2 linked regions of the Neodiprion lecontei genome follow. The protein of the gene in region 1 purifies or fractionates together with the protein of each later gene. This does not show direct contact. Links are inferred from orthologs where the notes say so. Each region holds a gene or a part of one and is shown in the gene's direction. Other genes may lie near its edges.

Region 1 (7,202 bases):
AAATTATAGAAATTATATAATAAAATAATATACAACATATTATATATATTATATAACATAATTATAAATTTAGTGTAATAATATATCACTTAAATCTTCTAATTAGCATATTGTACTGTAGCAGAAACGTAGTTTTATAACGTTGCATCGGTTGAAAAAAAAACCAAACTTGACTCATGCAATTAAGCTGTATCTTAAGCAAAATCAAAAAGGCCTACGTAGTGTTATTAAAACTCTAAATAAATAGTCATTAGTATATAGATACTATATATTGCCTATAGCGGAAGTGTGATCACTAGAGAAAGAGAGACAGATATTTACAACTGTTAGCTATTTATTATTCAGCGGGCAATCGCCGCACGACACCTTCAATCATTCCATGCAACGTCTTAACACACGCTATTCAGTGAGTTTCGTGAGAAATTTTTCTCTCCCTATATCGAATAAAGTAATGGAGAACAAATGTTTCGCATTACTTAAACTCATCCCGATCATCCGAGTCATTTTCAATCTTTTCCAGAAGTATTTTCATCGGTATTAACCGTCATAAGCAAAATGATATTTACTCGAAATAGTGATCTGCGATCTATTTAGTTTATATTTAGAACGAGAATTGGTCGCAACGAAATACCCGTTATTCGCATGTGAGGACGATGTAAAATTGAACCGGCTTAAATAACTCTGTCCAAATAATATTATTATACTTTAAGTACAAATCCGACGGTATATATAATTGAAGATTAAATATGTACTGTCCACTTATATGGGGAAAAAAGACGACGTGGTATAGTTGTGATGATTTATAAATTATTATTATAAATACCCAAATAATGTAGTTAACTTATTATTTCTATAAATTATAAGTATAATCGTTTAAGGATACGTATCATAACTAGAGACAACATTCCAAAATAGGGAGGGGACCTCGTTTCCAATGGTTAACAATGGTATTGTAAATAATCTATTCTATCTCATTTACAACCATTAATTGTACTGCGACATTCGCACTTGGTTTATAGTCATCTTAATGCAGTACGTATTGTCTATCATTACACATACATATAATATATCAGCTATTATTAAGGCTGCCACGGAGGAGCCGATTGTAAAAGCCAGCTGCGTTTCTGTGTAACGAGACAAGAATATATCAAATAATTTATTACATTTCGTTTTCTTGACCCTATCACATGTTTTCCTGGCACAAACATTTTTCAGGAAATCGTGTTGAGACAACGTGCAAATCGCTGAGGAGAAAATTACTCCAATCTATCAGCAAATAGAAAATAAAAATATTTGCTTATTCAAATAATATGGTAATTCTATTTATTATCGTTCACAGGTATCACCTGCGGTGTCTGATAAATGCGGTTCGACTTGCGATTAACAAGTTAACAACCTCAACAGCAAAGCCTTGCAAGGAAATACTTCACTAAATAGTAGGGCTTTTTTTCATTACTCATTGAAGGTTTTTTTAAACGAATAGTACCTATCAATATTATATAGCTAGCATCTTATCCACCAATCATAAGAGATCAATGATTCTACCAAATGAGCACGCTGTACCGACGATTTTTGTAGCTAATTTTCAAGGTGCTTAAGCGATAAGGTTGAACATGCGCTTACCATCTAGTTACCTTTTATACTTCTGATTTTCTTTGCTAGGTGGCGCGAAATTTATTTACGTGTCCAGCGATGTTCCATCTCTTGGTATGAGGTGAGATTTCGGTACAACAATGATGTCGCCGGTGGTGTTTTAGGTTAACTTGTAAAAGATTTATGTAATTTAAGTGATATTCGGTGTTGTGAAAATGGACAGTAGGATCACAGTAGGTGATCCTGACGTCGAGGAGATAAATAATGAAATATTCAGCGACATAGAGCCAGTGAGGTGGGAGAACGACGATAGTAATTATGACTTGGACGATATCAACATGTTCTTTCACAGAGTGGATTCGGACCAAATAATATATGAGGAAAAAAAGAAAACATGTAAATTAATTGGTAAATATGTTATGGGTGACCTTTTGGGGGAGGGGAGTTACGGAAAAGTTAAAGAGATGCTCGACTCGGAAACCCTCTGTCGGAGAGCTGTTAAGATTTTGAAGAAAAAAAAACTCCGCAGGATACCCAACGGCGAACTCAATGTTCAACGGTGCGATACCATTTCACTTGCCAAAATTCAACATCTTATTGCCCTGCATTTTATTAATTTCATTCACTCTCTCTCCTTCTAGTTTAAATACAATTACTTGCTAATCATGGTTGTATCAATTCTTAATCAGTCGTTTCTCAAGCTTATGATGATTTTGAACAACTTGCATATTCGGCGTAGAGAGTTTTTAATCTAATTCAAGAATTAACCTCGATTGTTTTCGTCTCTGTTTTAGGGAAATTCAAATGCTGAGGATATTGAAACATAAAAATGTTATCGGGTTGGTGGACGTTTTATATAATCACGAAAAAGAAAAGATGTATTTGGTAATGGAGTTTTGCGTGGGAGGTTTACAGGTATACGCTTTCTGTTTCTCATTATTAAAATGTCTAATCCTAGAATTAATTTTCCATTCCAAAGGCCAATGCTTCAATTATTTCTAGCCGATGACATTCTGCCTCCTTTTTACAATCTTTGTATATTTGCTGTTTAAATACTGTTATATCAATGTAACGTATAAATTATGACTCCATTAGATCATTTTCACAGTAATTGGCACACCCTAGAATCGTTTGTAAGAAAGACGTTTATTCACACACGTTATGTCGAAATGAAATATAAAAACTGCATTAATAACATTTTTACTTATCGATGACTTTAAGAAAATCGTGTTTTTTTTGTTTATTTTTTTATTTTCCGCGCTTATAGTTGCGGGTAGAAGTTACAGAAATTGCGTAAGAAGGCCAAAACTTTTCCAACTTATCAGTATTATTTTCAGGATATGCTGGAAAGCACACCTCACAAGAAATTTCCGCTCTGGCAAGCGCACGGGTATTTTAACCAACTCTTGGACGGCCTTGAATACCTTCACGGCAAGGGAATCGTTCACAAAGATATTAAACCTGGAAATTTACTTTTGACGCTAGACGGTACTCTGAAAATTAGCGACCTCGGTGTAGCTGAGGTGTGTACGTTTGATTAGCTACACCTCTAATCGCTACATAATCGTTAGAACTAGATAGTCAAATCCTCACAGTGTACTAAAGCATTTTCACATCATTTTACTTTTTATATTTAGGTTATTTTCAAATAATACTTCATGCTGTAATTTCACACGCTATTGAAACTAATTACGTATACTTGAAATTTTTTTACAGGCCTTGGACATGTTTGCCAAGGATGACACATGCACGGCGGGCCAAGGCTCTCCGGCATTTCAACCTCCAGAAATTGCTAATGGCTGTGAAACATTTGCTGGCTTCAAAGTAGACATTTGGAGCAGTGGAGTCACTTTGTAAGTAATTACAGTTAGCGCTTTTGTTACTAAAATAATGCAACTCGTTATTGCACACTCTTGAGTCAAATTTCACTCTGCAAATTTTTCCGCATTATTATTTAAAACTACCTTGGCTTGAGTCTGAATTGAAACTGTACAGAAGCAAATCTGCAAAATTTTGAAGAAAATATTTCTATGTGGTTTTAACTAATACTTTGTAAAAATTTGTATTTACTCATGTATTCGACATCATGTAAATTTCGATATGCAATATGAAACCGACACAATACTTGTATTGTACGTCATATTTGGCAAACGATGTCTCGACTTACTTATTATTACGAGTTGAGTGTGTGTAAATAAATGTAACGTGTATGTATATTTATTTGAATAGTATGTTCAACTGTTCTACTTTGTAGATATAATATTACAACAGGCGAATACCCCTTCGAAGGGGACAATATTTACAAGTTATATGAGAATATTGGAAAAGGTGAATATAAAATACCAGAGGCTGTAGACAATTCCTTACGATCACTGTTAGAGGGAATGCTACAAAAGGAAGTCGACCGAAGATTTACGCTGCAGCAGATCAGGCAACATTCGTGGACATTGTGGAGACCGCCTAAGACACTGGAAGAAGTCCCTGTACCACCTCTAAGGGGTGATGAATGGCACACTATGACTGTTCTTCCATACCTTATAGAACACCATTATGGAGTCGAAACAAATCCTACCTATTACACAGAACATCAACTCAATGGTCAGTATTAAACATCATCATATGCGGTTTTTTTTTTTTTTCCTTTTTTACCTGCAATTAATATTATATGATTATCGCTCCAAAGGTCAGTATCTCGCATTACAAATGGCGTAAGACTTGAGACTTGTCGCGTCACAATTATACACCACTTAGACTTGCTAATAATGAAAACCTTGAGCGTCATATAATACACAAATAGGCTTGTATGCATATAATTTACTATTTATTGCTGCAATAAGTCACTTATACAATCAACGCTATGTAATAACAACAAACTTATATACGTAGCTGTAAACATATCGAGAGATTATATGTTTCCTTTTTTCTTCAATTTTGCATTATAATTCATACGCTTCTCGTCAACCAACTAATTTTTAATGAAAGCGTTTCTTTAATCTTTATTTTTCTCTTGCTTTCCTCAGTTTCACTCGCAAAGATCATATTAGCTGAGCTTTTTTAAGAAAAAATTAATTTAATCTTTTTTCTGTCGTGCTACATTGAATTGTTTTAATTGGGTAGATTCATACAAATTGCTTGTAAGCCCAGATTGGTGGCCCCCGCACAATTGGTAAGTCCCAGACATTACGTGCACCAATGATAAGCACGCGGAGTGTGCATTCTGCATTTGAGCTACATACTAACAACTAGTACAGACTGAGATAGTATAAAAATTGCTGCATCATAGACGATTAATATCAGTTAAATTCAACCGGAATCTTGTGTTACATCCATACTCTGCAAAACCTCTTGACACACAGGTTTTGCTTTTCAGATTTAGGCCGAAGAGATGAGAGAAAGCGTTTGTCGCCTAACTGTATTGTATTATTCTTCTCAAAGACATGCGTCATTCTATAACACTGACATATGCGTAGCTGGTTTCAGTTTTGGATTCTGGATTTTTCAATAAGCGGTACTATTATTCTATTCACTCTTCTTAGCACCCCGTGTCCGTCGTATCGATCCTAAATTCACCTTGTATTTTTGAGAATCTTTTTTTAACAATAGGTGGGGTATTTTTTATTAACAAATCGCTCGTATCGTCTCTCTTTTACTCAACTAACACTTCGAAACTGTCAAACGAATAACTTTTCAAACTGACTATTATGAATTTGTTTATAGATGAACATGTGTTTTGTAAGTTTTTTTTTGCACCCTGGTATGTCATGCCGTCTGTTTTGACTTTTTAATCCTCAACCCTGTACCTATTTTCATTCTCAATCATCGGTGATAATTTCCATTTTTTATTCTTCGCCTACCCAATCATAAATTATTTATCAGTGTTCATATTTTTTCAACCCGTCATCATATCCTACTTGTAATTCTTTGTGCTAACATTTAGTTTGGTGATGATATCCTCAGGTTTCATATACTTTGTCCATGTTTTAACATTGAGTTTATATATTGCGATTGTAAAACGTCCCATTACTTTACTGAATTTTACTTGAAACATGATCATTCGTTGTTAATTGTAATTTTTTTTATAGAAGAAAGAAAACTCCAGGAATTGGACAGAAGTATCGGAGATCAAAAAGAGGCGTGTAATAGTCATATCAAACAAATTGGTCACCACGGAAAGAGAAGATGGCGTAAACCGATATCGTGTATCAGCGTAAAGAAATTTCCATCTTGTAAACCATCGTGATTCATTTTAATATATATGTCACCAAGTATTCTTACTGACTGTGTCAGTTGTTATGTAATATTTTCTCTATCTTGGAGATGGGACTGGAAATTATATTTACCGACTGCGGAAAGAGTGGAGAATGCGAGAAATGATACAGAAAATATGCGTTTCATGCGACCAATTTGAAACGCGGTTTGACGTGATGGTAATTATTGATTAAAATAATTCAGAAATATTATGAATTATCAAATAATTACGTCAAAGATTTTTACAAGTTATTTATTGTATTTTTATTTACTTTATTCGGTCAAAACTTGAGGTAAAAAAAAAAAACTTGAAATTTAACGATGTGTTAAACGATCCTCTATTCGCATCTCAGCACTCTTTCCGAATCTACTCAAGCATTCTACTTTTCGTTGAGGTATTTGTTGACTATTTTTTTTTTTTTTTTCGTTCAAGATAAAAATCGTACCTCCTTAGAAACTCTGACTTGTAATTAGCTGTCGAAAGTTAATATTTATACATCATGAATCCCCTTCTAAATCACACTGTAATATGTTTCAGGCGCAAAACTGCATACCTATATTAGATTATCTACTTCGATCATATTCGATAAAACATATTACTTTTATGACAGGAATCGCTGCAAGAACGACAAATCTCTGATATAAACAAAATTAAAAAAAAAAAAATTAATAAACAATTAATCAAAAAACTCGAGCTGTTCTATGACTGCCAAAAATTTTAACGTATAAATCAGTAAGAATAAAAAAGTTTTATATTTAATTTAATCAGAATCTGCTGTGCTGATATAATTATAATAAATCAGATTAAATAACGTGACCGCTCTTTGAACGATTATAAATCTCACTTTACTTTTGTTTGCAAAAATGGTTCAACCATTTGTAATCATATCCCAAACCGATCAAGTTGTAAGTTTTTTTTCTCTTAAAATTCACAATAATTCGTGTACAAAAAAAAAAAAAAAATTAAAAAAAATCTCTGTACTGATACTGAAGTATAAAATAATAATAAAAGAGTGTAATTGAATTATTTATTCATTCGAATGATTTGTACGAAAGACAGAAGAAAAAAAGTAGAAGGCTAATTTCTGTAAAAAGTACATAATAATAATAACAAGAATAATAATAATAATAATAATAACAACATGTGTACAAATTTTATGTTTACTGTTTCATTTCGTTTAACTGATTATCGTCCGTTCGTTGGTAAATCTGTTCTTTAGAATAATAAATTCAAATTACGTAAGTACTGTTATATATTGCAGGGTGTTTGGTAACAAAAAATTACAAGTGTGAATACTTCGTAGTGTTCAACGTAAAACTTGACGATATAAACAACGTTAAAGGTGTATATTTTATACCTG
Region 2 (5,965 bases), on another chromosome or scaffold:
ACGTCGAGCTAAATATTATATTACAGTAACAGTTAAATCGAGTGAAATGCGAGACAAATAATATTACAACCGTATGATACTTTTAAACTAACTTATTGTTAACTTCATCCCTATTATTTTCATTGTCACGGCTTGTACAGCAATATAATTTGATGGGTCAATAAGAATCTTCGACGATTTCCTTTACTGACTCTGATTACCGAAATCACGACATTCACACCTGAAAGATGTATGCAAAGTGTAATGTCGCGGTGAGTACTTAAATTTAATGCGTGAGCCATTTGACGTAGTCAGTCTCGTATGATATTATTCCTAAAGGTAGGTAAATGAATTACTTACATGCGCCATTGACGTATGTTTACTTTCTCGTGTAATGTATCGAGTACCGCGATATCATTATATAGTCGTATAATAACTTGGAAGGACCGCAACTCCAAGTCGCGCGTCATTATCGCAGATTTTCAAGTGTTTTTTTTTTTCATTTTAATCTGTTAATTTTTCTTACAACACATGCATAATATGCACCATACAACACTTGAACGTGACGTTGACTCGTTCGTTTGTTATTTATCGATTATAATCTGACATGTTTGAAATGTTATTTCAACTCGATTAGTTCATGGAATTGATAATCGTTTGAAATTAAACAATTTAGCTCTCGTTTATGTAACAATCCGAATACGTTTTACCCTAAGTTGTAGGATCCTGGTGAACGGTAATATAGAAGCTTGATCTATAAAGTAAAACGTGTGATACGTGTAGAAATTCGAATAAACTTTCGATGTAACTAACGTTTTTTTTTTTTTTACTCAAAATCTCAACGTCGAGTAAACCAAATACAATGTTTTTATACAAATTCGTTAAACCAATAACGGAGAAGAAGAGTAAAACCCCTAAATGCGCGAATAAAAGGTGCTGAAAAACTGTTCACGTTGTAGCAAATTTCTATACATCTAACAAATTATAGAATTCAGCTATTTACGCTAAGCTTACAGACTGCATTATTAAAAATCATTCTTACCGACGCCACAGTCGTTTTTAGTAATCGATTCGCGTGTTGTTGGTCTGCCGAAGGCGCCACTGACTTGACTTGATTCGAGATTGTTTAACTGCAGAGAGTGGCAAGGTCAGCCATGTTGAATCACTAATTTACGCGCTAAATTCAAATTTCAACAACACAGCCAGTAAACAAATTAGATTCTCGTTTTTCTTTGCTTAAAAGAAATAATGCGGCAATCTTTGGAGAAACATCCACAACTGAATAATAATACTGTAAAAAATAGATTGCCTGTAGATAACCGAGGGTGATTTATCGTCACGTCGATGCAAGTGTATTTTTCAAAAAAGACCACGATCACAATAAAAGTGATCACTTCTACCACTTGAGAAGCGCGAAAAGCCGTATGTACAGCATACGAGACTGTTACGGAGAATCCAATATAGACTTCGGTGCGATGTATACGTAACAGTCAAATCGCTAGCGTTGTTTGTTCACCATTGAAAAAAAAAACAACAAGTTACAGGCATACCGGGTGAAAACAAACTTCTCGGTGACTTAGAACTGTTTGCATGACAATCACTTACCAAGGCCAGCCCCACACATCGAGTTAATTAGGAAGAACCATTAAATTGAGTATAAATTTGAACAAATCCAAATACATGGTACGAGCCGAGCACGTTTGAACTCTTCGGCATCCCAGAATTCTGTGAGTAGCCTGAAAGTAGCGTCGCTGCAGCAGCGACGTTCACTCTGATCAGATTCTTGGAACTAAATTTCGAGCACAAAAACATGTCGGTAACGTTACCGATGAAAGTCATTTCGTGTGTCAGCGGTATTTACACTGTCAGTAAATAGAGTAAACATAGGAAACTGAAGAGACGATAAAAAAAAAAAAGCGAAAAAAATATTTGCCGACCGAATACGTCCGAAGCCGACTGATCCGTTGATCGACGAGCAAGGATCATGAAGTTAGCCCTTTGACGGAATTCTGTAAGAACTGCGAGAGCTTCAGAGCGGTCTGAGTGTTCGTAGAAGGTTTCAAAACGTCACTGGCTCCGATAATTTGAAAAGAAATATAATAAACGTTGTAAATATAAATACGTTACTTGATATTGATGATGAAAGTATCATCACTAATGGCATCGTCACTCGAGCTATTTGTAAATAATGTCCGTACGCTCTCAACGCAAGGTAGGAGCCAATTTGATTAGAACAAAGAATTGAGAGAACCGGGTACATAACCTCAATAGTGCTAATCGCATGATCGTTTTTTGCCTGTGAAACAGCGATAGGTGATCGGAAAATTGAAATCTGAACTTTTGAACACCGGTCGGGTAGAATTTGACCCACCGGTTGAAAAATTTCGAAGTTTCTACCGAGCAAAACTGAAGAAAATAAAAATTACATATTTTGCTCTTTATTCTGTCCTCGCGTTTTAAAAATTCTTTTCTTCATGTTCGCAGGCAACTTCAGAGAGCTCTGTGACATTATCAATAAATCTACGACCACGCTCGCAAGAAACGGGCCACATTTAGACAATGTCTTAGAAACACTTGACCTACAGCAACACTCACTGGGAATCCTAGCCGTCCTCTGCGTAAAACTTTCCCTGCCAAATGCCAACGGAGCAAACAACCCAGATGCCTACAAGCCGCTGTTGAATCAGGTCCAAGACTTCATCGTAGGATGCAACGGGGAGCAAGTCAGATTCGCCCCGGATACATGTGATAATTTTTGCATTCTTGGTCACTATTTAGCTGCTTCTACGATACATCGTCATCGATGATTAACACATGGCGTATATTTTTTCAGACACAGAATTATGCCACCTTTTAAGCCAACTCTTGATAGACCTGCAAATGCCTCTGCGAGGTGTCGACCTCTTGCGCAGAGCAATACGAAAAATACAGCTGTTCGACAGCCAGCTGACATCTATACACGCAGATTTGTGCCAGCTGTGTTTACTCTCAAAGTGTTTCAAGCCTGCGCTAGAGTTTTTGGATACTGATATAACCGGTATAAGTCAAGAGGGTGGATATTTTGATGCAAAATACTTTTTGCTATACTATTATTACGGTGGAATGATATACACGGCATTGAAAAACTACAATCGAGCCTTGTACTTTTTCGAGGTCTGCATAACGACCCCTGCGATGTCGGTGAGCCACATAATGTTGGAGGCGTACAAAAAGTACATGCTGGTGTCGTTGATTCTTCATGGTAAAATAGTGACCATACCAAAGCATGCGAGTCAGATCGTTAACAGGTTTATCAAGCCACTGAGTCAGGGGTATCACGATATCGCGACGGCCTACTCGACCAATAGCTGCGCACAAGTTAACACCGTGATGACCAAGCACCAAGAGCTGTTTGTCAGAGATCACAACTGGGGATTGGTGAAACAAGTCCTACGCTACTTGTACAAAAAGAACATACAGAGACTCACCAAAACTTTCCTCACCCTGAGTCTTACGGACGTTGCTAGCAGGGCACAACTTCCCGGGCCCACTGAGGCTGAGCAATATATTCTAAACATGGTGAGAAGCATGCTCGATTGGCCACTCACGTCATTTTTGCTTTGCGGCTAAACAACTTTACTAAGCGGCTGCATAATCTCTTTTTCAGATTGAAGACGGCGAGATATTTGCAACGATCAATCAGAAAGATGGAATGGTCGTGTTTCACGACGATCCCGAGAAGTATAACTCACCCGAAATGCTTGCCAGGCTTGAAAAAGAAATGGAAGCTTGCACGGAGCTCGATAAACGGGTTCTAGAGATGGAGGAAGAAGTGCTTTTGGCACCTCAATATGTGCGTAAAGTGTGCTGTCATGTAGATCAAGATGAGCCATTGACAGGTCCCGTACATACCAATGTAACCAATACCCAAGGACAGTCTAAACATAGCACTTACTCCATGTAACATACCATGATCGTGCGTTATCTTTATTAAAAAACAAATACAAAAAAAAAAAAAAAAAAAAAACACAAAAAATGGAAAAAAAGAAGGGAAAAATCATTTTCAAAAAGCCACATCGAGAAAAGGAAAGAAAATGTTAAAGCTCATTTCAGTTAACCATAATTAAACAAATTTGTAAAGCAAATTTTTTTGTTTACTATTATTCGCACTTTTTACAAACCTCATTGCTGATAATACAACTGCCTAATTGATATATAGTGTACTAAAAATTGTCACAGCAATTACCAATTATTTGTCTTTAGAAACTACGGTGTGTTAAATGTAAAAATAAGTCTTGTAATCTACGGATGAATTCTAAGTATGGAATGTTATTTCTAACCTTTGTTTCTATTGCAACTAAAAACTGTTTTTGCAAATAAAACTAGATTCTAAGTTCTAAACTAAAATTGCATTGGCTTTTCTGAAATAAGCTTTATTTAAAGTTGCCAACGAATTCTATTATACGTCAGCTTTCGTTAACAATCGATAACTACCTATTTCACCATTTCTGGTATTTATTCGGAATTTGAATTTTTTTATCAATAAATGCGTACCAAGGCACAATACTAATATATTTAATAGATATTCTGAATATTTATAGCAGGTATTTATCTAGTCAACGTTAATTTGTGAATTCACTGACTCGAAATAATATTTAATAAGCATAGTGCAGTAAATTCGCTATTCTGTATTCACTGTGAAGTCAATGTTATTTTCCAAAAGCGGCAACAGGAAACGGAAGAATTACAAGTTACAAAATACTGATTCAGTCATTGCCCAAGTTAACGAATGTTGATTGTGACTTGTAATATTCGAGATAAAAATGGAAAGTATTAATTTTGACTCACAAATTTTCTTGTAGAATTATGTAATCTAAGCATCCGTTAGTTGCATCTTTTCGATGAGAAAAGTCTCAAAAAAGTTGTTGCTGATTACTTTGCTGCAGGAGTTTAGGTCGTTGCAAGGATATTTGGATCGGTGATTAACAATCACTGCACGAGGAACACGGTCAGAAGGACAAGTCCTTAAAGAAAACTGTAAAATGACATATATTATTGAATGCACATTCGATAATGTATTTATTCAATTGCGCTCTAAGGAAAACTTGTAGGTTTTCTTTTTATTTATATTATAATACAAATCATCATTTATCCACCTATAATTTCATGAGGAACTCTACAAGCTCTGTGTACATTCGCTACATTCTTTACACATCAGGCACTTAATTGCACTGTAAACCTCATCGAATATATCTTTTTTTGATCTTGATCCATCGATAAATTTAACCTCGCTCAAACTACTGTCATTTATTATTTCTGACTTATGTTTCAAGAATTCTGGCCATACAATTTTTTCATAATAACCCGGAACGTCTGGTGGAAGGTACGTGCGAAGTTCTCGCCTCTTCCAGCACTCATCCTTGTCAAGGGTAATAAAATACTTTAAATTGGTCAAATCTGATATTGGTTTGTAGCTAAAAATGAGAAATCCTTCAACGATCAATACTCTCCTAGTAGTTCTACAGTTCCCATCGCCATTTCCCGTTTCAAAATCCTGAATTACTTGCAATATGTCATTGTGCATTTTTTCCATATCCAAGCTGCTGATTATGTCCATGTTAATATGATTCAATTCAGGTATAAAAGTGTGCCGTGGGCTATCTGTCGGTAGGAAATAATCATCTTGACTTATAACTACAGAGTTGGTTAACTTGGCATTTATTTCTTTAGACAGAGTCGTTTTCCCGCTGCACGTAACTCCGGATATTCCAACAATCAGCCAGTCGCTCATCGTAGTTATTTTTATTTTTCTATATTTCGCGAAGTAATCTTATCGTCTCACTTGTTGAAACCAGAATACCAATATGAAGCTACCAACAATTTATTCCACCACCACAGTTTGATAATAAAGTAAACGAAGACGCTAAACTTGGTCACTTATTCAACAAATGGTACTCCGATACTAATCCAAGAATACGATGATACTAATTTAAGTTGCATACAGCTA

What was found.
Region 2: the proteins of serine/threonine-protein kinase STK11 (region 1) and COP9 signalosome complex subunit 3 purify together in Homo sapiens (affinity purification with mass spectrometry; 5 studies listed by BioGRID and IntAct, with this or other methods). This does not show direct contact. The link is inferred for Neodiprion lecontei from reciprocal best matches to the Homo sapiens genes STK11 and COPS3.

What each region holds. Positions count from the first base shown.
Region 1 is NC_060263.1:39,950,222-39,957,423, reverse strand, and holds serine/threonine-protein kinase STK11, read left to right. Parts: upstream 1-1,720; 5' UTR 1,721-1,808; coding exon 1,809-2,152; intron 2,153-2,387; coding exon 2,388-2,508; intron 2,509-2,930; coding exon 2,931-3,116; intron 3,117-3,309; coding exon 3,310-3,446; intron 3,447-3,847; coding exon 3,848-4,191; intron 4,192-4,710; coding exon of another isoform or gene 4,711-4,759; intron 4,760-4,963; coding exon of another isoform or gene 4,964-5,046; exon of another isoform or gene 5,047-5,101; intron 5,102-5,675; coding exon 5,676-5,833; 3' UTR 5,834-6,612; downstream 6,613-7,202. UniProt on the Homo sapiens protein: Tumor suppressor serine/threonine-protein kinase that controls the activity of AMP-activated protein kinase (AMPK) family members, thereby playing a role in various processes such as cell metabolism, cell polarity, apoptosis and DNA damage response.
Region 2 is NC_060262.1:2,588,234-2,594,198, reverse strand, and holds COP9 signalosome complex subunit 3, read left to right. Parts: upstream 1-1,908; 5' UTR 1,909-2,115; coding exon 2,116-2,191; intron 2,192-2,463; coding exon 2,464-2,724; intron 2,725-2,812; coding exon 2,813-3,537; intron 3,538-3,625; coding exon 3,626-3,922; 3' UTR 3,923-5,134; downstream 5,135-5,965. Other genes in the region: nicotinamide riboside kinase 1, read right to left, coding at 5,135-5,749. UniProt on the Homo sapiens protein: Component of the COP9 signalosome complex (CSN), a complex involved in various cellular and developmental processes.